Coturnix japonica: one gene and its partners. The protein of the gene in region 2 binds, or shares a complex with, the protein of the main gene of each other region. Links are inferred from orthologs where the notes say so. Each region holds a gene or a part of one and is shown on either strand. Other genes may lie near its edges. The genes, in order: TAF10, TBP and transcription initiation factor TFIID subunit 4-like.

Region 1 (8,056 bases), on a different chromosome or scaffold from region 2:
GACCTCAGTGCTTCCCATGGCATCTCTGGCACCGGCTGCTCAGTGCTGGCCGTGCAGGTGTCTGTGGCCGTGCAGGTGTCTGTGGCCGTGCAGGTGTCTGTGGCCGTGAGGTGTCTGTGGGGCCGTCGCAGGTGCTGTTGGCCTGTGCAGGTGTCTGATAGGCCATGGCAAGGTGTCTGTGGTTGTGCAGGTGTCTCTGGTTGTGCAGGTGTCTGTGGCCGTGCAGGTGTCTGTGGCTGTGCAGGTGTCTGTGGTTGTGTAAGTGTCTGGTTGTGCTGCTGCCTCTGAGGGGTGGAAGCTCCCCCCGTGAGGAAGCCGTGGCACTGCAGTCATTGGCACAAGGAGAACACAGCACGCTGGGCAGTGGTGGCTGCACAGCAGTGGGGTAATGGCAGCCCAGGAGTGCAGAGTGCTATGGGTGCTCCCTGTGCCCTCCTTCCAGCCAGGGTGAGGAGGGGGAGCAGGGCTGTGCCTTACCAGAGCGCAGGGCCCTGGCACCTTCTCCTTCTTTGCGGAGCAGTGGGGGGCCTGCACCGGTTCCCTGCGGAGAGGAGCGTGGTCAGCAGGGCCTGGGCCAAGGAGGGGATGGAGTCCCATGGGCAGAGAGCAACCTTCCACCTGGGTGTGATGCCGTCCGTCATTCGGAAGCGATACAACATGACGACAGCAGACATTGGAGTGCTGCCCAACAACAGCCAGGCCTGTGCCCAGGTACAGCCCGGTGCTGGGGGGGCAGCAGGTTGCACCCCAGAGCTGGGGCACCATTGCAGTGGGCACAGGGTGCTGTGGGAGCGTTCAGCAGCTGCTGAGAGCTGTGGCCAATGTTCCATGAGCACATTGAGCCAACTTCCCAGCTCTGGAGAAATAACTCCGTGTCCTTCTGTGTCCCCCCAGTTCCTGGAGCAGTATTTCCACCAGGCTGACCTGGCTGTGTTCATGAAGCTCTTTGGCAGCAGCTTTGCCCACCGCACAAAGGTCGACCACGTGGTTGGGCACCAGGGCCAGGGCAGGGCTGGGCTGGAGGCCAGCCTGGATGTGGAGTACATCATGAGCACGGGCGCCAACATCTCCACGTGGGTCTTCAGCAATGCAGGTACTGATCCCCTGCCAGGCCTGCTTTGCCCTCTGTCTGCTTCCACGTGTCCTGCTCGATGTAGCACTGACCCGTCGGTTCAGGGAAGCGGCCATTCCCTGCCAGGGCTGTGAGATGGGCTGCTCACAGTCCAGCTGGTGTGAGTTGCACCTCACGTGGTTCCTCATAGGGGCCGTGGCACTGGGGTTTCCCAGCTGCTGTGGGTACATACTATGTGGGCTTCCAGCACCGGAGCCGCTGTGGGTCTCTGACAGCTCTCACAGGAGGCATCATCCATTGCTTTAGGATACGTGACTGTGCACCATCCGCAGTGCCCTGCAGCGCTGCACACCTGCCCTGGCTTTGCAGTGTGAAGCAATCACATCACTCCCCTCCCTCTCTATGCAGAGCTGACCTGGCCATGAATCTGCCACGGGGTGGGGAAGGGCAGTTTGAAGGAAGGGGGCTGCAAACCAGTATGTGCTGGTGCTGTGCAACAGCAGTTTGTCCATGTTAGAGGATGGCCGGGGGCTGAGTGCACCGGGACCGTGTGCTCTGTCCTGTTGATGTGTGCTGGTGCACAGACCCTGTGTGCAGGTCTCTTCTGTGCTGCCTGCAGTGTGAGAAGAGGACAGAGACTCTGAGCAGCTGCAGGGAGTCTGGGACCCTCTGCCCTACACTGCATGGAGAGGGGAGAGGGGCAGGAGGGGCCTCGGCAGGGATTGGTGCTGGTCCCAGAGCCATCCCTGCCGTGCTGCCGTCAGCTGCTCTGCTGATGGGAATTCAAGGCAGCATCCAACCGAGCTCTGCACCCACGGGCAGGGGCAGGAGGGTCAGAGCCGCTGCTGGGGCAGCACAGTGACCCCGATCCGCCCTGGAACTGCTGCTTTGTGCCCGCAGGGCGGCACGAGAGCCAGGAGCCGTTCCTGGCGTGGCTGCTGCTGCTCAGCAACATGTCGGCGCTGCCCTGGGTGCACTCGGTCAGCTACGGGGACGACGAGGACAGCCTGTCTCAGGCCTATCTGCAGCGGGTCAACGTGGAGTTCATGAAGGCGGCCGCCCGCGGCCTCACCGTGCTGTTCGCTTCGGGTGCGTGAGCTGCGGGGCCGGGGGCGTCCCGCTGCCCAGCGCTCCGGGCGCCCCCATCACTCGTGGCTGCCCGCAGGTGATGACGGTGCCGGGTGCCGGAGGGTGCCGGGGGGGAACCACACGTTCCGGCCCAGCTTCCCGGCCTCGAGGTAACGGCGGCCCCGGGCTCCTCGTGGCTGCGGGGCGGTGTGAGCCCCGGGGGGGGGTCGGGTTTGGGGGGGTCCGCAGCACCTGCCCGTCCTCAGCCCCTACGTGACCACGGTGGGCGGCACGTCCTTCAAGAACCCGTTCCTGGTGACGGAGGAGGTGACGGATTACATCAGCGGCGGCGGCTTCAGCAACGTCTTCCCCATGCCCGACTACCAGGTGCGGCCGGGGGCGGAGGGGCCGCGGGGGGGGCTCCCCGGTGCCGGCGCTGATCGGGCTGATGGAGCTGATGGAGCTGCCTCCCCCAGGCCGATGCGGTGCGGAGTTTCCTGCGCTCCGCCCCGAAGCTGCCGCCCGGCTCCTACTACAACAGCAGCGGCCGCGCTTACCCCGACCTGGCCGCGCTGTCGGACAATTACTGGGTGGTGACCAACCGGCTGCCGCTGCCCTGGGTGTCGGGCACGTCGGTGAGCGCGGGGCGGCGGGGCGCGGCTCGGGGCCGTCGGGTCCCGGTTCGGTGCCGTCGGGTCGCGATTCAGTGCCGTCGGGTCCCGGTTCGGTGCCGTCGGGTCGCGGTTCGGTGCCGTCGGGTCCCGTTCCGGTGCCGTCGGGTCCCGGTTCGGTGCCGTCGGGTCCCGTTCCGGTGCCGTCGTGTCGGTGCGCTCCGCCCGGCGCTGAGCCGTGTCCCCCGTTGCCCCGTTCGTTCCAGGCCTCGACGCCGGTGGTGGCGGGGCTGCTGGCGCTGATCAATGACCGCCGCCTGCAGGGCGGGCAGCCGCCGCTCGGCTTCATCAACCCCGCGTTGTACCGGCTGCGGGAGCGCGGACACGGCGCGGCGCTGTTCGACGTGAGCGGGGCGGGGGGCGGGGGGGGGTCCCGGGGGGTGCGGGGCGGGTCCGGTCCCAGCCGGGCTGTTCGGTCCCGTCCGGTCCGGTCGGGTTTTGCTGACCCCGCCCCGTCCCCAGGTGACCGTCGGCTGCCACGTGTCGTGTCTGGACGCTGCGGTTCAGGGCCGCGGTTTTTGCGCCGTTCCCGGTTGGGACGCGGTGACCGGGTGGGGGACGCCCAACTTCCCGCAGCTGCTGCGCGCGCTCACGGCGCCGTGACGCCAATAAAGGCCGCGATACGAACCGTGTGTGCGGGACCGACGGGACGGGCGGCCAATGGGGAGCGGGGACGGGAGCGGGGCGGCCAATGGGCAGCGGGAGGGGGCGGGGCCGAGGGGGCGTCGCGTCGCGCGCAGGCGCGTTGCGGAGCGGCCGGAGCCGTCGGGGGGGGCGACATGAGCTGCAGCAACGAGAGCGACCCCGGCACCGCGGTGCCCGCAGCGCCCGCAGCGCCCGGGACCACCGGGACCACCGGGGACAACAAGCACAGCCCGGCCGCGGGCGGCAGCGGCGTCCCCGGGGCGCCACCCAGTGCGGCAGGAGGAGCGGCCAGGGGAGCGGACGGGGGAGCGGCGGCGGGGAGGGGACCCGGTGAGTGCGGGGAGGGGAGAGCGGGACCGGGCCGTGATGGACCAGGCCGGGCTGGACCGGGCCGTGCGGTGCCGGGCCGTGATGTGCCAGGCCGTGAGGGACCGGACCGGGCCGTGCTGTACCGGGCCTGCCTGTGCTGTGCCGTGCTTTGCAGTGCCATACCGTGCGGTGCCGGGCCGTGCCGTGCTGTGCGGTACCGTGCGGTGCCGTGAGTCCCGCTGAGCGCCTCCTCCCGTAGCTCCCGTGTCGGCCGCGGCGCCGCCCGAAGGAGCGATGTCCAACGGCGTTTACGTGCCGCCCGGCGCCGCCAACGGGGAGGTGAAGCCGGTGGTGTCGGGGACGCCGCTCGTGGATTTCCTGCTGCAGCTGGAGGATTACACGCCCACGGTACGAGCGGCGCGGGGCGGGCGCTGAGGGCGGGCACCGGCACCGGGCACCGAGTGCTGAGCACCGGGCGCTGAGCGCGGCTCTCCCTGCAGATCCCGGACGCCGTCACCGGGTATTACCTGAACAGAGCGGGATTCGAGGCCTCCGACCCGCGCATGTGAGTGTAAAGGGCGGCCGGGGGGGGGGGGTGCGGAACGACCCCCGGTGCCGTATCCCCGCCCACCCGCCCGTTGTTGTGCCCGCAGCATCCGGCTGATCTCGTTGGCCGCACAGAAATTCATCTCTGACATCGCCAACGACGCGCTGCAGCACTGCAAGATGAAGGGAACGGCCTCGGGGAGCTCCCGCAACAAGAGCAAGGTGGGTGTGATGGGGGGCACTGCCAGGCATTGACCTGGGTCACAGAGTCACAGCGTGGCCTGGGTTGCACAGAACCACAGTGCTCATCCATCCCAACCCCCTGCTGTGTGCAGGGTCACCAACCAGCAGCCCAGGCTGCCCAGAGCCACATCCAGCCTGGCCTTGAATGCCTGCAGGGATGGGGCATCCACAGCCTCCTTGGGCAACCTGTGCCAGTGCGTCACCACCCTCTGGGGGAAAAACTTCCTCCTCAGATCCAACCTAAACCTCCCCTGTCTCACTTTCAAACCATTCCCCCTTGTCCTATCACTGCCCACCCTCACAAACAGCCGTTCCCCCTCCTGTTTATTCGCTCCCTTCAAGTACTGGATGCCCACAATGAGGTCTCCCCGCAGCCTTCTCTTCTCCAACCCAAACCAGCCCAGTTCCCTCATCCTTTCCTCATATCAGAGCTGCTCCAGCCCCTCTGCTCATCTCAGTGGCCTCCTCTGGACCCTCCAAGAGCTCCATGTCCTTCCTGTGCTGGAGGCCCCAGGCCTGGACTCAGCACTGAGATATGAGCTCACAAGAGCTGAGTAGAAGAGGACAATCCCCTCCCTGTCCCTGCTGGCCGCCCCTTTAAATGCAGCCCAGCACACAGTTGCCTTCCAGGCTGCAGGCACACACTGCTGCCTCATATCCAGCTTCTCACCCCCCAAGTCCTCTGCAGGGCTGCTCTCAAGGAGACTTTCCCCCAGTCTGTACACACACCTGGTGTTGCCCCAACCCAATGCATCACCCTGCACTTGTCCTTATTGAACCTCATGGGAGGCTGATGTGTGCTGACTAAATGGGAGGGAGCGTGGTGGGCAGGAGGTGGGCAGTGCTGTGTATGGAGATACTGCAGGGCCACCCAGCCCTGATGGCACCAAACTAACGCTGAGGGAAAAAGATAAAGGGAGGAAGCGTGTAGAAATAGCTTCTGGAATCCACACAGCCCCAATTGTGGCTTAGGGGCAGTGCAATAGATGCGCTGAGTAATGCTCAGTGCGTTTCTCTGCTGTGGAGGGCAAAGAGCAGATGCAGCTTTCAGGCACTTGGTGCTGGTTAATGCCCAGCCACTGGGCATCACACACACATGGACTGCTCCAATGAGGGTCAAAACCCCAACCAAGGGCTGAAGGCACGAGGTGTCTGTGCTGTGTTTGTGTGCTATGAGTGCTGTGTCTGTGCTGTGTTTGTGCTACAAGTGATGTATCTGTGCTGTGTCTGTGTGCTATGAGTGATGTATCTATCTGTGCTGTGTCTGTGCTGTGAGTGATGCTGCCCTTTGTCCCCAGGACAAGAAATACACTCTGACCATGGAGGACCTGACGCCCGCCCTGGCGGAATACGGCATCAATGTGAAGAAGCCGCACTACTTCACGTGAAAGCAGGGCTCGTTGCTGGGGACTTTTCTAGGGTTTGCTTCTGCTCCATTAAACCAATGGGTAGTTTTTTTTCTGGTGGAAAGACCCCCCGTTTCCTGCCGCCCTCCTGCTGTCAGTGCAGCAGCAGCATTTGGCCCACGGAGTTCTGCTCTGCCAGCACCAACAGAAGGTGATGGCTGAGGGCTGCACAGCAGGGAACTGCAGCTGCATCTCCTGGAGGGCTCAGCCTGCCCTGAGCTGCTGCAGGGCTGTGGGCATCGTGCAAACAGAAGCGCCCAGCTTCCTCTGTGCTTTCTTTCCCTGTAGCATGTCTCGTAAGAGGAAGGTTCTGGGGCTGTGACGGCTGCTGCAGCTGCAGCCAGGCTCCTCTGCCTCGCTCTGGGTTTGGCACAGAGCAGCTCCAGCGCCCAGGGCTCCATGTGCCAAGGGCAGCCCTTCTCCCAGCAGCCTATTGAGGTATCAACGCACCCTTCGGCCCGTGGCCAGTTTTCATAACAAATATTTATTTCAGATGCTGGCGGCTTTTCCACGTGGCCTGGATGGAAATGATAAAAAGTGAAGCGCGAAGCTGGGGTGGTGCTGGGCACAAAAAGGCAACTTTCCCCTGCTGTCCTTAGCAGGGAAGAGCACCAGGACTGGACACTGTCAGCATGAGACCAAGTGGGAGAGCTGCCCTGGGCCTGGGAGCATGACGTGGCTTCAGGGCGGCAGAGCCCCACCACGCTCAGTGGCTGCATCCAGGTGTCCTGCTCAGTCTGCCCACAGCTGCCAGGGAGGGTGGAGGTGCTGCCATAGATCGGTGCTACAGAGCCCGAAGCCCACAGAGCGGCTCCAGGGAAGGCAGCATCGCCTGTACCGTGTGTCCATGGCTGGCTCAGGGTGAGGGGGCAGCCCCTGCTCCCCCTTAGCTCTGGGGTTAAAGGCACTTGGAAGTGGTGGGGAAGGGAGCATGGCAGCGGCGGACATCGGGGAGGCACCTCCCTCTACTTGTCCTGCATCTTCTCTAGGATGGGCACGATCATGTCGAACTTGGGGCGCTTGGCTGGGTCCTCGTTCATGCAGATCTTCATCAGCTTGCAGATGTGTGGGGAGATGCCGGGGGGGATGGTTGGACGGAGCCCCTCCAGGGCCACCTGGGAGCGGGCAGAGCAGGGTCAGCCAGCTGGACACAGCCCTGCCTGTGGTGGGCACATGGAGCTCTCCATGCCACTGTGCTCTCCATGGAGCCCTGCCTGTGCTCCCTGCTGACCCAGCTGTGCTCACACTGCTTTGGTCCCCTCCCCCCTCACCTTCATTCCTATCTCCATGTTGGACAAGTCTGCAAATGGCACCTCGCGGGTCACCAGCTCCCATAGCAGCACCGCGAAGCTCCACATGTCCGCCGAGCGCCTGTTAATTTCCTCTGGCTTCTTCTGCAGGGCTGCAGAGAATCCAGTGCAGCACAGGGGCTGAGAAGGGCAGGGAAGGGGGCAAAGCAGCAGGAGGGGCCCGACTGTCTCACACTCACCTTCTGGTGCCACCCATGCGGGCGCATACATCCGCCCGGGGCACTGGAAGGAGAACTTCACGTCGGCCATGCTGATCCTTGCCGTCATGTCCTCGTCGATCTGGGGAGTGAGATGCAGTCAGAGCCACCCACAGCCCAGCCCATGGGCTGCAGGCAGCAGCACTCACCATGATGCTGCGGCTGTTCAGGTGGTGCCGTGGGATGAGGGGCTCCAGCGTGTGCAGGAAGGCCATGCCCCGAGCTATGTCGAAAGCGAATTTCACTGCCTGCATCTGGTCCACCACAAAGTCTGCAGGGAGGGAGGAGGCACTGGGGGTCACTGAGGAATGAGTGTCACGTGTGGGAGGGGACAGGGATGGCAGCACTCGGAGCAGGGACACGCAGGCTGCAAACTGAGCTCCTCGTGGCCACCCTGGAGCTGCAGCTGGAGGAGTCGGTGCTGCTGCCCCCCGTGTACAGAGAAGCAGCCCCCCCCCCCAAGGACAGAGTGACCAGCGCCTGCCTCAGCTGTGTCATCTGTTAGCACTCACTTGTCCCCTCGTGTAACACGTTGTAGAGGGAGCCGTAGGGCATCCAGTGGCTGATGACAATGGGATGGGGGGCCGGG
Region 2 (8,056 bases):
TGAATTCACCTTAACTACTATGGTAGAATACAGTAGCCCAGTAAGCTCTAGCTTTTTATTTTACATACTGTAACATCTCTACCTGCATTTATAAACATTCTTAAGCTCTTTGAAGAAACAAATACTGCAAACTGATGTGGGTATCACACACAAAATCTCTGTGCTGTATTAAACTTGGACCAGTTCACTATGCAGTCTCATGTACTACTGTTCTGCTGACATAATGAAGGTAGTAGCATGGGTTACCCAAAAACACATTTGTCAAACTGTGGCTTAAATAACACAGCCAAGCAAGCTATTTGTTTCATAAAAGGATGCACTGACTAAAAGTCACGAGTGCGTTACATAACCCTTCTTTTCTCTCTGCTGTGAAAATCCAGCATTTCATATTGATCGTTCTAGCCTACAAGCTCTGCACAGCCACCTACCCCTAACATAACAGCCAGCATCGCACACTCAAATGTGAGCTGCATGAGCATCTTACTCACATGCAGTTGTTAACAGCATCGCTGTTATAACAGACAGCAACAGCCAGTACTGGGGGAATATCTGAAAGAACAGAGCTTAGAGGGGGAGCGAGGCCATAAAACCCCCCCTGTTCAATCCAGCTACTTACAGCAAAGCACACTCCAGAGATGTTCTGCCCACATACCTGTTACTGGATACATTCTAACACACTTCTCTTACCTTGGGATTATATTCAGCATTTCGGGCACGAAGCGCAATTGTTTTTAAATCAAGTTTGCAACCGAGATTCACCGTGGACACAATATTCCTGAAAATAGTTCAGAGAAATACATTTTAAAAAGTAAATTAAAGAATTCACGCATCTTATCCATCATAACATACTTACTAATTTCTTTTCATTTGTTTAACCAAGCAAGCTTAAGTGACATCTCTCCTACTGACAGGAAACTCCTCTTTTAGGGCAGTACTTCCTTTCAACCCTTCCAATTCCATTACAGATGTTATCTCACCAACAAAATTCTCTGCACACCCCTGCTATGTGCAGGGTCGCCAACCACCAGACCAGGCTGCCCAGAGCCACATCCAGCCTGGCCTTGAATGCCTCCAGGGATGGGGCATCTACAACCTCCATGGGCAACCTGTTCCAGTGCATCACCACCCTCTGGGTGAAAAACTTCTTCCTAATACCTAACCTAAACCTCCCCTGTCTCAGTTTAAAACCATTCCCCCTTGTCCTATCACTATCCACCCTTGTAAAAAGTAGTTTACAATGTCAATGTTCTGCACTACTCATACAAATAAATATTCAAGACCTTCTTTCCTATCAAAATGCAGTACACAATTACTTATGTGGCTTTGCTCTTGGATATTTCGAGTTAAAGCACATCCTGAGATGTCACGGTGTACAAGCACACAACACACTCACTGTAGCTGTGGCACTATCCCAGAGCTCTCGGATGCCGGTGTCGCAGGAGTTATAGGAGTCATTGGAGTCATTGGGGAGGGGTACAGAGGTGTGGTTCCTGGTAAAGGGGCTGTGGTAAGAGTCTGTGAGTGGAAGAGCTGAGGAGTTTGACCAGATGTTCCCTGTGTCGCTTGCTGTGATGTAGACTGCTGTGCTGCCTGTTGCTGCTGCTGCTGCTGCCGCTGCTGTTCCTCAAGGATAGACAGACTGTTGGTGCTCTGGACAGGCTGCGGTGTCAGTCCCGTGCCATAGGGCATCATTGGGCTAAAAATTGGAATTCCAGGAGTCATTGCACCCTGCAGAAGAAAACATGAAAAAGAAACCACAGACGCTTTGACTTAACATTGTTTTAAAGAGAAGAAGCTTGAAGTAGTAGGAGTCTAAGAATAAATCATCTTAGCTGGTCACATCAAGCCCACGGTATATTACTAACTTGCTAAAAACAGAAAACCTTTGGAAGATTCAGTTCTTACACAACATGAATCACAACCTCAATCGATCTGTCAATTCCAACACTTCTCAGCACCAGTCAGCGACGCTGGTACGTTTCCTACAATACCTGGAAAGTGCGTCTCAACTTTGACCCACAATTCCTACTTGCAATCATTAGAATGCAAATGCATTCACAGCACAACTGTAGTCCATTACATATAAGCCAATTTAAAGGATTCCAAAAGCAATGAACAAAGTTAAAATGATACAATGACTTGAGTTGGAAGGGAAAGTCCATCCAGTCCCACCCTCTGCCATAGGCAGGGCTGCCACCCACCAGCTCAGGGCCCCATCCAACCTGGCCTTGAATGCCTCCAGGGATGGGGCATCCACAGCTTCTCTGGCCAAGAGAAGCTTCACAGGCTTCTCTGTGCCTGACCACTCTCTGAATAAAGAATTTCCTCCTAACATCTAACCTAAATTTCCCTCTTTTAGTTTAAAGCCATTCCCCGTTGTCCTACTGCTATTAGACCATGTTAAAAAGTCAGCCCCCCTCCTCCTGCTTGCAAGTTCCCTTCAAGTGCTGGAAGGCTGCAATGAGGTCTCCCCTGAACCTTCTTATTTTCAACATGCCAGTAATGTTTCAGCTTCATGAAAACCATAAATATATCAGTGTATTTCTTAAACCTCTGGATATATATCTATATATACCCATATCTATCTATCTATCTATATATAAATGGTTTTTCATCTCTGCTTTTTACTGAGTAAGTTATATACAGTAGAATTTTTCAGATCTGCAAACACACAAACAAAAAAAGACACAAAGAAATAACATACAAGACACAGAAAACACTCCCACAAAGAAATTCAGACCGCTTTTGCATATCACATCATCCCTTTTTACCTGAGGGGAGGCTAAGCCTTGAGCGTAGGGTGGCAAGCTGTTGTTCTGATCCATGATTCCGGTTATTCTTTGGTGAGGCCAGAAATATTTCCTTCAATTAATTGAAATTAATTTAAAACCAAAAAGGGTTTTTGACCCTCTAAAGCATTCCAGCAAAGCAGCTTTTTAGCCAAGCTGAAAACGTGTCAGGAAAACATCAGCTCCAGAGAAAACACGTTGCGAGTCTAAAACACTAAACAGGGCCTGAAAAGAAAAGAAGTAATATCTTGAGAATAACATTTAAACAAAAGCAGGCTTATCAGCTGGTCTGTTAGATAAGAAATGCCCACATACAAATATATGCGAGAACACTCATACGCACGCACACACCCATGCACCTTATATAAAGCAATCTCTTTCTACAGCCCTAGTGCCCCTGGTGAACATCCACTGCACGTGAGCAGCCGCCTCCACAACGAAGGCCTCCTTCACACACAGCTCCAGTCCTGCATGCATCGCTTCAGATGGGAAAGCATTGACTTTCAGAACTGAATTCCACCAGCTACTGACAGACGAGCCTAAAGCCACGCTTCGCTCACACATCTCCCCCTGGGCAGAGTTAAGGCTTGGCCTTCCAAAGTTGTTTTTTGATTTTGCTATATGAAAATACTGCTGGTAAACTCAGGTTTAGGAAACCTCCTCCCATCTACTTCCATAAAGCAAAGCACTAATGTATTTTGAATTGCAATGACGTACTTCACGAGGGGAAAAAGGGAAACTAAAAGCCAATTCCAGGTATATGCATGAAACGAAAGTATTCTTCTGGGTGTTGTTTCACTTACTGTTTGTTTTTTGCCTTTTAAACAAAGACCTGTACCTCTATTGGCACGCAATGGAAAGAAACAATACAAATAGAGAACTGAAATGCTTTCATGGCGCTGTAAGGGCTGGAAGTGACCTCCAGAGATCACTGAGCCCAATCCTCTGCTAAAGCAGGATCCCTACAGCAGGAGAGTGGCTGGGTAAGTTTTGAGTACCTACTGTGAAGGGGACTCCACAGCCTCTCTGGGCAGCTCTGTCTTCCTCTATTTGTACGGAGCTTCCCATGCTGCAGTTTGTGTCCACTACTCCTTGTTCTGCCTTGAACTGGGGAGCCCAGAACTGGACGCAGTGCTCCAGATGGAGCCTCAGCAGGGCAGGGCAGAGGGGGAGATCACCTCCCTCAACCTGCCGGCCATGCTCTTTTTGATGCACCCCAGGATCCCATTGGCCCTCTGGGCCACCGGGGCACACTCATGGCCAACCTGCTGTCTGCAAACACCCAGCTCCTTCTCTGCATAGCTATATTATGAAATGCTAAGCCTTTTTATCAGATATTTTTCCTATTCATTTATAGCTTAACTGCACACTTACACAGAGAGCTCCTAAGCCATTTTAAGGCACAGCACTGAAACATTTGAAGAAAGCCTGCCCATCTTTCTCTCGTCCTTAAGGCACTCAGTATCACATTAACCACCCGCTGTTTTACCCAAAGGCGTTTCCACGTTGCACACCGTGCAAAGAAGGGGCCCAGCCGTTACCCAGCATCACGGGCAGCCCATCCTCAGGCCCAACACGCCGCGCGGACTCCACATACACCGAACCCAGCCGCCGAGCCCCGGTACCAGGCCCACGTGCAGGGCAAGGGCCGATCACGGCTCCCGTACCGAACCCAAGGCCGCCGCCGCCGCCGCGTTCCCCGCCCGCCGTCACGTGTGGGAGGCGGTGACCGCGTCCCGCCGCCATCACGCCCCCGGCACCAACGGCCGTACCGGGATCGCTCCCGTCGCTCCGCTCGGCCCGCGGCCCGCTCACCCCGCACATCCCTTCTCTCCCTCCCCCCCTCCCCGCCGCTCGGGCCCGCCCGCAGGACCCCGACCCTACGGCGGCGCCCACGGGGAGTAAGAAGCGGGCTCGGCCCGGCCACCCCCCCCGCCATAAGCGGCACAGCCCGCGCCGTGTGGGCTGCGGGGCGGAGCGGGACACGGAACGGCCGGTACCTGCCGCGCGGCGCCGCCACAACCAGCACCGCAACTGCGGGACACAGGCTGCGCCCCGAGACCGCGCCGCCGGCGCGCCTCGATTGCGTCACTTCCGCCACGAATCCGCCCCGCCCCTCTTACCGCCATCTTGAGTGAGGGCGGGGCCTGCGGGCTGTTGTCTGCGGGGTGTTGGCTTTACTCGCACCTCGTGGCACAGCGTGTGGTGCCGTGCTCACAGTGTCACAGTGTGGTGCGGGTTGGAAGGGACCTTAGAGATCATCGAGTCCAACCCCCGGGATTCGAGCCTCTGTGTAGCAGAGCGGCACTTCTACCACACGCGCCACAGGGGGGATTCGAACCCAGGGCCTGCGGTGTTGCAAAGCGGCATTGCTACTACTGCACCACCGGGGCACACGGTGTGCTGGTGTGCTCATGGCGAGAGCCTGCTGTGCTTGCCGGCCCTGCCGCCCGAAGGCTGGCACGGCTCCATGCGGCCGGGTGGTCACCGCCGATGGGGCGTGGTACCTCCAGAGCAGACGAGACGAGGTGCCTGTGCCTCGTAGAGCGCCGCCTCCTCGCTTCCGGTGCCGCCATTTTGCCGTGAGACAGCAGGGCTGGTGCCGTAGGGATGCTGTCCGCAGCGCGATACGCCGAGCTGAGGCCGGAGCCGGGATATGGGCTGGGCGGACCTGTGCAGTACCGCTTCTCGCCATACACCTTCAACGGCGGGTGAGAGCCGCGGGCAGGGATGGGCCGGGGGGAGGTGAGCTGGGCTGCGTCTTGCTCGTTGTCGTTTTGCCTTCTGTCTTCACTAGGAGAGTGGTTAGGCCCTGGAACAGGCTGCCCAGGGAGGTTGTGGATGCCCCGTCCTTGGAGGTGTTCCAAAGACCCGGTTGGGACGGGCCTGGGCAACTCTGATGTAGTAAATGTGTATGTTTGGTGGCCCTGCCAGGCAGGGGGGTTGGAACTACATGATCCTTGAGGTCCCTTCCAACCCGGGTCATTCTGTTATTCTTCTGGCTGTTCATCGCTTGCCTAAGAACTAAGTTGTGCCAATTGTGTGAATTATATGAATGCTCTTCTTTAAGGACTGTGCTGGCGATCGCTGGGGAAGACTTTCAGCATTGTTTGCCTCCGACACACGGCTGAGTGAAGGTTATGCAATTCACAGCCGGGACAGCCCCAAATGCTACAAACTGTAAGTCTGCACCTTGTAAGGACTGAAATGGAAGAATGAGCCTGTAACTCTGTGTAGTATCTTTGATTCTCTGTTACTGTCCAGTGGAAGATTGCTTTAGTACAATTAGGTGTAGAAGCCCAGGATGGCTTTGGGTAATTCGGGTGACAGAAATTGAGGCAATCTCAATTGAAGTGGTTTTGAGTGTTTAAACTTATAAATGTGTGCTGGTGTTTTAACCTCATTGAAGCTAAAGCACTGGGCAGGTATTGCTTGCTTCCACCACAACCCACCTGCAGTGGGATGTGAAAGAGAGCCTGGGTTCGAATCCCCCTGTGGTGTGCAAGGTGGTAGAATGCCCGCTCTGCTACACAGGGGCTCGAATCCCAGGGGTTGGACTCAATGATCTCTAAGGGCCCTCCAACCCACACGAGACTATGATACTGGAAAAAACACAAGGTAAACCAATGGGCTGATGCAAAAGTAGTTTGATAGGTCAGAAAATTGAAGGAAATAATAATAAAGAGAATGGAAGGCATGGGCAATTGCTCTCCCACCTGCTGACCAATGCCCCAGCCAGTTCCTTAGATCAGATTCTCCTTGCGACATTGATCAGCTCTCTCCAACTTTATCATGTCCACGTGACCCTGCACAGTATGGGACATCGCCTTGGCTGGTTCGGATTGGCTGTCCTGCCCTGGTCCCATCTCCCAGCTTCCCTTGCACCCTCATGGCCTCAGTTGCTGTCATGGCAGTGTGAAAAGCTGGGAAAGCAACTTGGCTCTGTGCAATGCTGCTCAGCAACAGCCAAAACATGGATGTTACCAACAGTTACCCTCCATCCAAAGCACAGCAACGTAGCAGCTACTAGGAAAAAAGTGAGCTCTATCCCAGCCAAAACCAGGACAATATGTCAGTGTTTGTAGGCTTTCATAGATTTATAGAACTTAAAATTCAAATGTGGGTTCCTGTAGTTATTGCTTAAATGTTAGTGCCAGTTAATTAATGTTAAATGTTTGCTATGAAACTGATCAAACTGCTAATACTGTATAGTACATCAGCAGATACAGTAACACAGAATGACCCGTGGTTGGAAGGGACCGTCAAGGAGATGTAGTTCCAACCCCCTGCCTGGCAGGGCCCCAAACATACACCTTTACTAGATCAGGTGCCCAGGGCCCCGTCCAACCTGGTCTTGAACACCTCCAAGGACGGGGCATCCACAACCTCCCTGGGCAGCCTGTTCCAGGGCCTAACCACTCTCCTAGTGAAGAACTTCCCCCTAACCTAACATCCAACCTAAATCTTCCCTTTTTAACATAAAACCATTTCCCCGTGTCCTGCTATTGTCAGCCCTTTCGAAGAGTTCACTCCCCTCATGGATACAGGTTCCCTTCAGGTACTGAAAGGCTGCAATGAGGTCACCACTGTTGTGCTGACACCAAAAATCACCTACATCATAAACATTACCTCACCAGCTAAAAGCAGTTCCCTGGCCAGATGGAGTAAAAACATATTGAGTAACATGACACGGCTTGGTAATAGCTACAGTTAGAGGTGCTTGAAGAAATTAAGGTATTTTTTTCTTTCCAAAGCTTTGCTGTGGAAATCAGTGGGTTGAAGACTAACATCTGTGTGATCCTGCACTTAATGAGTCAGCTTTTATTATTGGAATACCTGTTACTACTACATTTTAGACAACTATTTCTGATAGCATTTGAGAAGCTGGAAATACACTTGATATTTTCATAACTTACTTTATAAGAAGCTGATATAGTTCGTGCTAAATCTAAAATCACAACTAAACTTTGTTTTACAGAACAGAGCGAACAGTCATTGGATGCAGTGGCTTCCATGGTGACTGCCTTACACTCACAAAGATTATTGAAGCAAGATTAAAGGTAGCTATCTTAATGTATTTAGAAATGTATTTTTGGTATTGCATTTGAGGCCTATTATAATTTTAAATACAATTTCTTCTTTTTCATCAAGTGTTCATATTGTAACTGTAGCTGTATTGCTAGTGAAAGATCAGGCAGGGTGAAATTGAGGCCTTGTTCTTGCCGGGTGTAACATCACAGGGTTAAAAATGGAAGCACTAAAGAGAA
Region 3 (7,956 bases), on a different chromosome or scaffold from region 2:
AGTTCTGGCCGACTGTCCGGCATGAGCGAGGTTGTAGTTGGCTTAGGGCACTTTGCTGTTGGTGCAGAGTAGTTGTGCCTCTTGTTTGGCGAGTACTTGTTTCCTCTCGTTGGGAGAATGGTGGTCACGGTAAGTTATTTTGTAACGGTGTAAAAACAGCTGTGCACCAGAACAATCTGGAGTGTGTTAACCAGGAATCACGTCTCTCTTGAAGCGTTCTGCAATCTCTTGATATGGAGAAAAGTTTTCGTTTTCAGTGAGCACCTTCTGATGGGCACCAGGTGACTGTATCCATACTACACAGTCTGATTTAATGTGAAGTTTGTCCTTTTGGGGTGCGTGACTGTGTTGCCCCTTACTGCGTACTCACAGCCTTGCCATCACTGGATTTTGTTTCCAACCACGAAGAATTCCCCATGTCCTGCTTGTTCTCCTTTTATTTTCTTGGTGTTGTTTTGTAAAGTTACAAGTTTAGCTGGTGAATCAAAGCAGCATCTCCCCATCCCGGTACCAGGTACCACTTTACCTGAACATTCCCAGGGTCTCAGTTTGTGCTTAGATTACAGTGTTGCAAAAAGTTGCTAAGTTTGTTACAGGTCCGGGAGATGAATTGGTATGTAAACTTTTTTTTCCCCTCTTTTTTCTATCGAGGTCAGCAGTGTGACACTACCTGGAGATGCTGATGTAACCTCAAATAATCAATTTCTTTTGCCATGTTTCTTTTAATAGCTGTTTTTTGTTAGCTAAGATAAATTTTTCTGTAGCTGTGTATTTAACTGTAGTTTATGGAACTCCAAATTCTGGTGTCCCAACTGGATAAAGCTCAGAGGTTTCCCGGAGTCGTGACTAACTCAAAGGGGTTAGTTTAAAAATGTCTGGCTATATTCCCACTATGTTGGTGGCTTTAGCGATTGATTTCACATTTTTAATATGCTTGATTAATACTAAATTCATGTGAGAAACTGTACCATGACTTTCTATACAGTTTCTGCGGCTTATTGCCTTTGTTCCACTATGTAGTTTTTAAACAGAAGGGGAAAACGGAGCCCTTGAAAGCAATCTTGTCAGAGGTTTAGAGGCAGTTCTGGAAACAATAGTGTGGAAAATGTTTCACTTGAATTTAATTTTATTACTAGATAGCTTGGAATCCATTAAATTGCATTAACGGGAGGATAGCATGTTCTAAGGATGAGAGTAATTCAGAAAATACACTGTTATTTTTGATTAATTACTCTTAAGTTTGTACATCATTATTAACTGATATTGAAACTCCTGTACTGTGATCTTCTGCCTAATGCAGAAGTTTAGAATGAGTTTATTTTAGCAAGTATTACTATATTAAGCATATAATAACCAGTTCTAGCACTTCATACTGGCTTATGAGTTGGATCTTTTCGTGGCTGACAATAAGGAAAAATTAATCTCCATGTTTAACTCAGTTCCGAGGATCTGATCACTTCCTACGTGCTGCAAAATAGTTTTCAAGTCCTTAAAGCTGGATTAAAATATAAAATTGCTGCACGAACATCTTTGTGTCTGTAGAAGCAGTTATATCTGCAACTTTTATTGAAACCATGTGGCTCCTGTTGCAATTAATTTGTACATTCTGTTCATTTATTAATTTTTTTAAAAATTCAGATTGAATTTTACAAGGTTGGAAAAGTAATTAACAAGACAGATGTGAATTGGTGTAATGCCAATAGAACGTGTTTTTTTTTTTTTTTTTAATATGTGCTAGGCTTTATCCTATAAGGATTTTTCTATTAGGTTAATGACACTCAGAGGAATGGTGTCTGTTCTGCACATTGGGGCAGTGTATTAATATTGGTTTGTCCAGAACAGCAGATATCCAATGCAGCATCTGCCTGTGGGGTTTCTACAGACCATTAGGTCTGGTGCCAGAAGGGCTGATGCACCCAGAAAGTTCCTGTTTTAAGATCTGTTGTTGAACTCTTCTTTTAAAACTTCATCAGGCTTTGAGGGAGATGTGATGTATCCTTTGGATGAGATCCTCACAGTAGCTCTGTGTGCTTTTGGCGTTACAGCTCAGTTCCCACAGCTCTTCCGTTCATAGTGGCAGAAATGTGTTTTCTGTTTGTGATTTTTGTGAGCTGGTGAGTGAGGGCTTCTATTGCAGCTGCAATTCAGTTGTGTTCATCATGAGACTGGGCTCTGTGGTTCTGTGTCAGAGACTGAAATAAATGTAAAGACTGCTTCTGAATTTGGTTACTTGCTGGATATAATAGTGCTCAATATGTTTCAAAATCTATTTACCGAGGTTGTTTGTTTGTTTGTTTCTGGGAAGCTGATACTTAGAAGTGAGTATACGTTTTTACCTTCTTTATTTTCCATTGCAAAGTTATCAAATGTGCATGAAGAAATCTACACATATAGACAAGTTGCAGGAACAATGTCTCCTGGCTCTGTTATTAACAGACTGAAAGAGATTTCCTAGACCCTGAAAGACCTGTTCCTTCTTGACAGTATCATGTATCCTACTTGCATCTAAGTTAGATTGGAATGTATTCGGAGACTAACTTGGAAATTCTTTTTAAATAACGTATCTGGATAATGGCTTCTTAGTTCTGACTGATCTAGAAAAAGCACATTATGTGCTTGTAGTGATCTTGAATTAAGCGTAAAGATCCAGGTGACCCAGGGGCCAGCTGAGCCATTGGAAGCTCCTTTTTGACCTGCTGATAATGGAAAAGCAGGACAGTTACAATAAGGGAAAGTCTGGATGTGTAGAGAGGCTTTTATTTGTGAAGTGTATTATGAGAAAACAAAAGTATTTTCATTTACATCCAGAAAGTACTGTGTTCATTTAGAACAATTCCTTGGGATTTTCCTTAGATCCCCATGCTCCTAGTTGCGTTGGGTCTCTGGGTGTGACAGTGTTTTTTCTTCACGCCCAAACCTCCTGGTACAGTGATGGTAGGTGCCAAATAAATTAATGTGTCAGTGCTGAAACATTAACTAGATCTCAAATATTGTATACTCAGGAATGTGTCTGGCTTAATATTTGCATCTACACATTCCCTAATGCTGTTGTTTTAGTAGAGCTTTCTTGTCATTGTCCCTGGTATGTTCAAACTAAATGTTGTTCTCAGCAACTAGACCGTTGTTAGAGTTTACTTTAATGACTATTTATTTCAACTTTAATTCTCCAAACGGGACAATGCTATTGTTGATTTTATTCTGTATTTCATAGTTCTTTATGAAATATGTGATTCTTTATGATTCTTATGAAAAATGCAATTCTTTATGATTTGTCATGTTATTCTTTACAGTTGTTGTCACTTTATTCTCACTAGGTATGGTCTTGGTGCGCACAGATGCTGGACAACTTGTGATGGTGCCTCAGCAGGCTCTAGCCCAGGCACAAATGCAGGCTCAAGTACAGACACAGGGACAAGGTCCTACCAGCATTTCGCCTCGACTTTCAGTGCCCACAGGCGGCCCAGTTTTTCGTCTAACAACAACTCAGGTATGTCTGGCTTGGTTTCACCTTGCTTTTGTGTGTGTGTTTCATTCTCCTCTGTCATCTCATCTCATACATTATCAGTTCTTTGACAAACATGTTTCTCGAAGACAGAAATTGGTTTGGAATGTGTGCCATTGACTTAGTAAATGACATTGTTCCCTCTGTGAGTCACTGTGATATTCCAGCACAGTGAATGGATTTATGTGATCACTAGATTTTACTAGAAATTAGAAAAGAAAAAGCAAAGCACTTTCTGTGCCAGAATTCACAGTACTTAAATTTCTGTAGTACACTTTATTTGGAAGAAGGATTTGATTCCTTTGATTCACTTCTGGATGTGATTGGTCTGCACTTAAAGTTTTGTCTGTGTTTTGACTACATTTTACTCTATTTTAATATGGATTGACAGGATACTGTGCTTTTCTACCCCAGACTGTTTCAGTGGAGAGTGTGGAGTTTGTGTATTTATTTATTTTCAATTACTTTGTATACTTTTTTGGTTTAAAATTCTGTAAGGATGCTGTTCAGCTTCAGACTATGTATGGCCACTGCTTAACTGTCTTACTAAGATGTAGAGGCAAGTGCCTTCAGATGTGTAGGGCTGTTGTGCTGTGATAATTACTGACAGAGTGAAAGGAAGTTTTGCCTAAGTTCTTTGTTTATAGAAGAGATAGATAACCCTAAATGAAATGGGGTGAAAAATATACCTTTATAATTTTCGACTGATTCTTGTGTAGCTTGCTTGAAGTATCTTGAATGTGTGTTTTCCTGTGTTAATATTTGATTGCTATCCCATTATATGCTTTGTGTTTTACACCCTGTTTGTAGTTTAAAAGATTGTTTAGTCAAAAACTAAAAACAGTGATAAACTTTTCAGAAGAGAAGGAAGCCAGAATAGAATTGTATAATTGAAAATGAGGTAATCTAAACCATAGAGCAGCCAAGTAAAATGCGAGTTTTAGATGTGAATGTAATAGGAGTAATGTGTAGTTCAAAAGAATGTATCTCAAGAAGAACACAAAAGCCTGGAAACATCTGATAAACTTAATGCTGTCAGCAAAAAGGGTAAGCACAGTATTAGATGGAATATTGTAAAAGAACTCTGCAGGAAAGGCAGCTGGTTAATATCTAAATTCGTGATATCTGGAAGGGTAAGAAGATTTGTAAAAATCCTTCAGAGATAAGTGTGAGATGTCAGGAAAATAAACACAGCGACAAGCCTATATTGATTTCCAGTTGTTTTTTTGTAACTAATTTGACACCAAAAAAAGTCTGGACAATGTTCATTATTTAGTTTGTATGTCTGTCATTGGTTGTTTGCTTTCTTGTTTTGTTTGTTTGCTTTTAAAATAAATGCTCCACTTTTTACATAGCACACACTCTAGGAATGGATTCTGAGATGAGCGTATAGTATAAATGCATAACAGATCATGGGTGGGACTGCACCAAGAATATGACCTCAGTCTGTTAAAATGACTTAGGTTTAGTTGCTTTGGTTTCATACTGTAAGTTTTTGTGCAACTTCAATTGCTGTGGCTAGCATTCAGAATTAAATTGGCTGCATGTGTTCAATCTTTATTGTAAGATTGGAATTTTATGTGTGCACAACTGATGTTGGGAGTTGATCACATTGGCCTCGGGCAGGTGTTCTCGAGTTATGTGAAGCTGTTAAGATTGTGGAAATAGTGTAATCTGACTTGTTGGGTTTTTCTGAAAATTAAGCTCTGAGGATGCTGCATGTTCATGTGGTGGCAGAGATGCTAAAAATCTGATGGAGGTAGTTCTACTATTAGGATGATGTAGTTATTTTTCTACAGGATTCTGACCAGCTAGATAACCTGCAGAGCATGATAGATATCTCTTTATACGTATTGGTGTTAATTAACAGCTTGAGAATAGGGGCTGGCAAAGCCCTAGGAATGGTAAATGCCTCACAGCATACAATAGTTTGGGTATTTTTAAGGTGGTGGGATTTGAGTCATGATATTGTAGCCAGTCAGGATTCATCTTCTTTGAGAGACCTGTGTGCCTCTAAAAAAAAAAAAAAAAAAAAAAAAAAAGTGGGGAAAATAAATAAATGTTTTAAGTGTTCTTAAATTGAATTGACTTAATCAATAGATTAAGTTGTTTGGGAGGGAAAATTCCCGTGACTTCAGCAGCTGTGCTTATGTCCAGGACGGTCTATGAGGAAGAGCCAACTTTCTGTAGGAGTAGCAGAAGAAAGCGTAGTTTAACTTCCCTCAGGATTTAGCATATGAGCTTAGTATAACTCTTTCCTTTGATTAAAAAACAAGCGCGTGTTGCCTTGCTGAAGGGTCAGAGCTCAAGTATCTCCATATAAGAATATTTTCCTCCCTGTGTAGAAAAGTATGTATTGTGATTGCAGTGTCAAACAGAAAAGTTCAGGAAAATTGAGACATGCAAATTCCCATTCATCCTACAGTAACCTCTTCAACTGTGCAGCGAGTTACAGTCTCTGTGTGATAAATGCACAAAGATAAAAGCATCATCTAGACCAGGCACACCACTTCTACAATTACTGCTGTACTGCAAACTGAAATTTAGTTTTCTTGCCTTTGGGGTGCTTGGCTTTCCTATTCAGGTTACTTCTTCTGATTACAGTTAAAATTTCTGTTAAAATTCTGGGAACGGATGAAGCAGATAAGCAAGTACCTTGTGGGAGAGGCCTCAATTCTGATTAGTTTAATGCAGAGCTTAAAGGCCGTAGAGTATGGGAGCATCACAAAAGAATGTGCAATGTTTGATGGGCAATCAGAAGTAGTGGCCTGGACTTGGGGTGAAGAATCAGCATTTGAAAATAACAGCATAGTGCAGAGAAATCAGCTGTAGAGAGAAGTACCTGTAATATGAAGGTATGTGTAATATTTCAGTGATCTTCTAAATTTGCGTGTGTGGTTTCTTTTAGTAAAATATTAAAGAAAAGCTTAAATATGTACAATTGTACATTAAAATAATTTCAGTTTAGATCATTAATAAGGTTGTAGATGACCATGAGAGGGGTGTTCACTACAACTAACTACACTTTTTTTTTTTTTATTTTTTTTTTAAGGGAGATTATATGTCCAAATATTCAGATATAGAAGAACAAAACATTTTTCAGTTTAGGAATACAATTCCTCTTCTCCGTGTAGCCAACAGAATCTTATCTTTTTAAAATGTTCCATGTTCTATCAGGAAGAACTTACTCTTAGGAAGGATTATTATGAACTTTTGTTGATTTAAGAAGTTACACTGTGAGTACTTTCTCACTGATAATGCTTGTTTGAAAAGAACATTTAACAAAATAATAAATTGATAGTGAATATTGGTTTGAAATAACAGTGCATGATTTGCTTTTTTTTTTTTTTCCTACACATTTGATTTAGTTCCTTTTGTTTTTGATAAATATTATTTTTTTTTCCTGCATATTAAATCATTAACATTGGCAAAACTGTACATGTTGTACGGCCTTAAAACAGAATGCTTAAAGAATGAGCTGTTATTTGATGAAACTTCAGTTATCTTAGAAAAAAAATTGTTCTGGAGTCTTCTATTATAAGTAGATCAAAAAAGCACAAGTTGACTCGCATCGCCGTATACTTCAGAGATGAAGATTTCTGGAATTATTATATTTAATTTGTTTTACACTTCTGCCTCCGTATCTTGTTTGGAAGCCTGTGCTTGTAAAATTATGAAAAATGGGTAGGTGCTGCCATCTAGTTTTTCTCTGGTGAGCTTCTTTTTTTATCTACACTTCTCATTCGAGCAGTTGATGGCTTTTCATGCTTCTGATGTGACACATACTTGTTTGCTGGTTTTCAGGACTGTAATATCCTGTTGGCTTTTTTTTTCATAACCTAAAAGGAGAAGCATGAATTTTTCAATTGAAATTATTTGAATTTAGTTACAAAATTAAAGTGCTTCTGGACAGCAAGAAGAAAGAAGTGAGCATCATACAGAGGAGAGCAGTGTTAAGCAGCAGCTTGGCCATTGCCATCATAAGTTCTCAAACTGTTGATGTTTGAGAAGCTCTTCTCCCTAAAGCTGAGCCTATCAAGTCTGAGATAGTTCTGACGATACACTTTGACTGTATTTGTAATTCTCTTGTTTTACTATTTTGACATATTTTTTCTGGTTTGTGTATTTATTTTTCCTGTGTGTCACATCCTCCTGTTTTCCCGATAAATGCTTGTTTTACTTCTCCTAAGTAATTTGTTAGCAAATTGAGAAATTTTTGTTGTTTCCTGAAGTGCATTAACTCTATTATCAAATTAGCTATCCCACAGTATTTTTGTATAGGCAGTTTTGAGGCTGGTTCCTCTCATACAGTATTCTGGAAAAGACATCTGTGTTAGCAGGGCAGGTAGGTTGAAATGCCGATGTCTTGGCTGTGCTTCAACCACAGAACCATCTTCCTTCTATGCATTCTGCTGTTTACCCTTCATAGTGTTAACTTATAATTTTTCAACTTC

The links.
Region 1: TBP (region 2) and TAF10 share a complex: the UniProt entries of both Homo sapiens proteins name them as parts of the TFIID basal transcription factor complex. The link is inferred for Coturnix japonica from reciprocal best matches to the Homo sapiens genes TBP and TAF10.
Region 3: TBP (region 2) and transcription initiation factor TFIID subunit 4-like share a complex: the UniProt entries of both Homo sapiens proteins name them as parts of the TFIID basal transcription factor complex. The link is inferred for Coturnix japonica from reciprocal best matches to the Homo sapiens genes TBP and TAF4.

Annotation. Positions count from the first base shown.
Region 1 is NC_029516.1:173,983,779-173,991,834, forward strand, and holds TAF10 (transcription initiation factor TFIID subunit 10), read left to right. Parts: upstream 1-3,547; 5' UTR 3,548-3,590; coding exon 3,591-3,786; intron 3,787-4,024; coding exon 4,025-4,173; intron 4,174-4,265; coding exon 4,266-4,330; intron 4,331-4,418; coding exon 4,419-4,533; intron 4,534-5,852; coding exon 5,853-5,942; 3' UTR 5,943-6,020; downstream 6,021-8,056. Other genes in the region: TPP1 (tripeptidyl-peptidase 1), read left to right, coding at 521-711, 895-1,093, 1,973-2,161, 2,238-2,310, 2,407-2,527, 2,617-2,775, 3,018-3,155, 3,274-3,414; ILK (integrin-linked protein kinase), read right to left, coding at 6,926-7,075, 7,232-7,362, 7,450-7,549, 7,617-7,738, 7,980-8,056. UniProt on the Homo sapiens protein: The TFIID basal transcription factor complex plays a major role in the initiation of RNA polymerase II (Pol II)-dependent transcription.
Region 2 is NC_029518.1:36,562,375-36,570,430, forward strand, and holds the start of TBP (TATA-box-binding protein), read right to left. Parts: upstream 4,900-8,056; 5' UTR 4,790-4,899; intron 3,015-4,789; 5' UTR 2,826-3,014; coding exon 2,772-2,825; intron 1,729-2,771; coding exon 1,394-1,728; intron 776-1,393; coding exon 688-775; intron 1-687. UniProt on the Homo sapiens protein: The TFIID basal transcription factor complex plays a major role in the initiation of RNA polymerase II (Pol II)-dependent transcription.
Region 3 is NC_029526.1:9,437,147-9,445,102, reverse strand, and holds part of transcription initiation factor TFIID subunit 4-like, read left to right. Parts: intron 1-3,314; coding exon 3,315-3,487; intron 3,488-7,956. UniProt on the Homo sapiens protein: The TFIID basal transcription factor complex plays a major role in the initiation of RNA polymerase II (Pol II)-dependent transcription.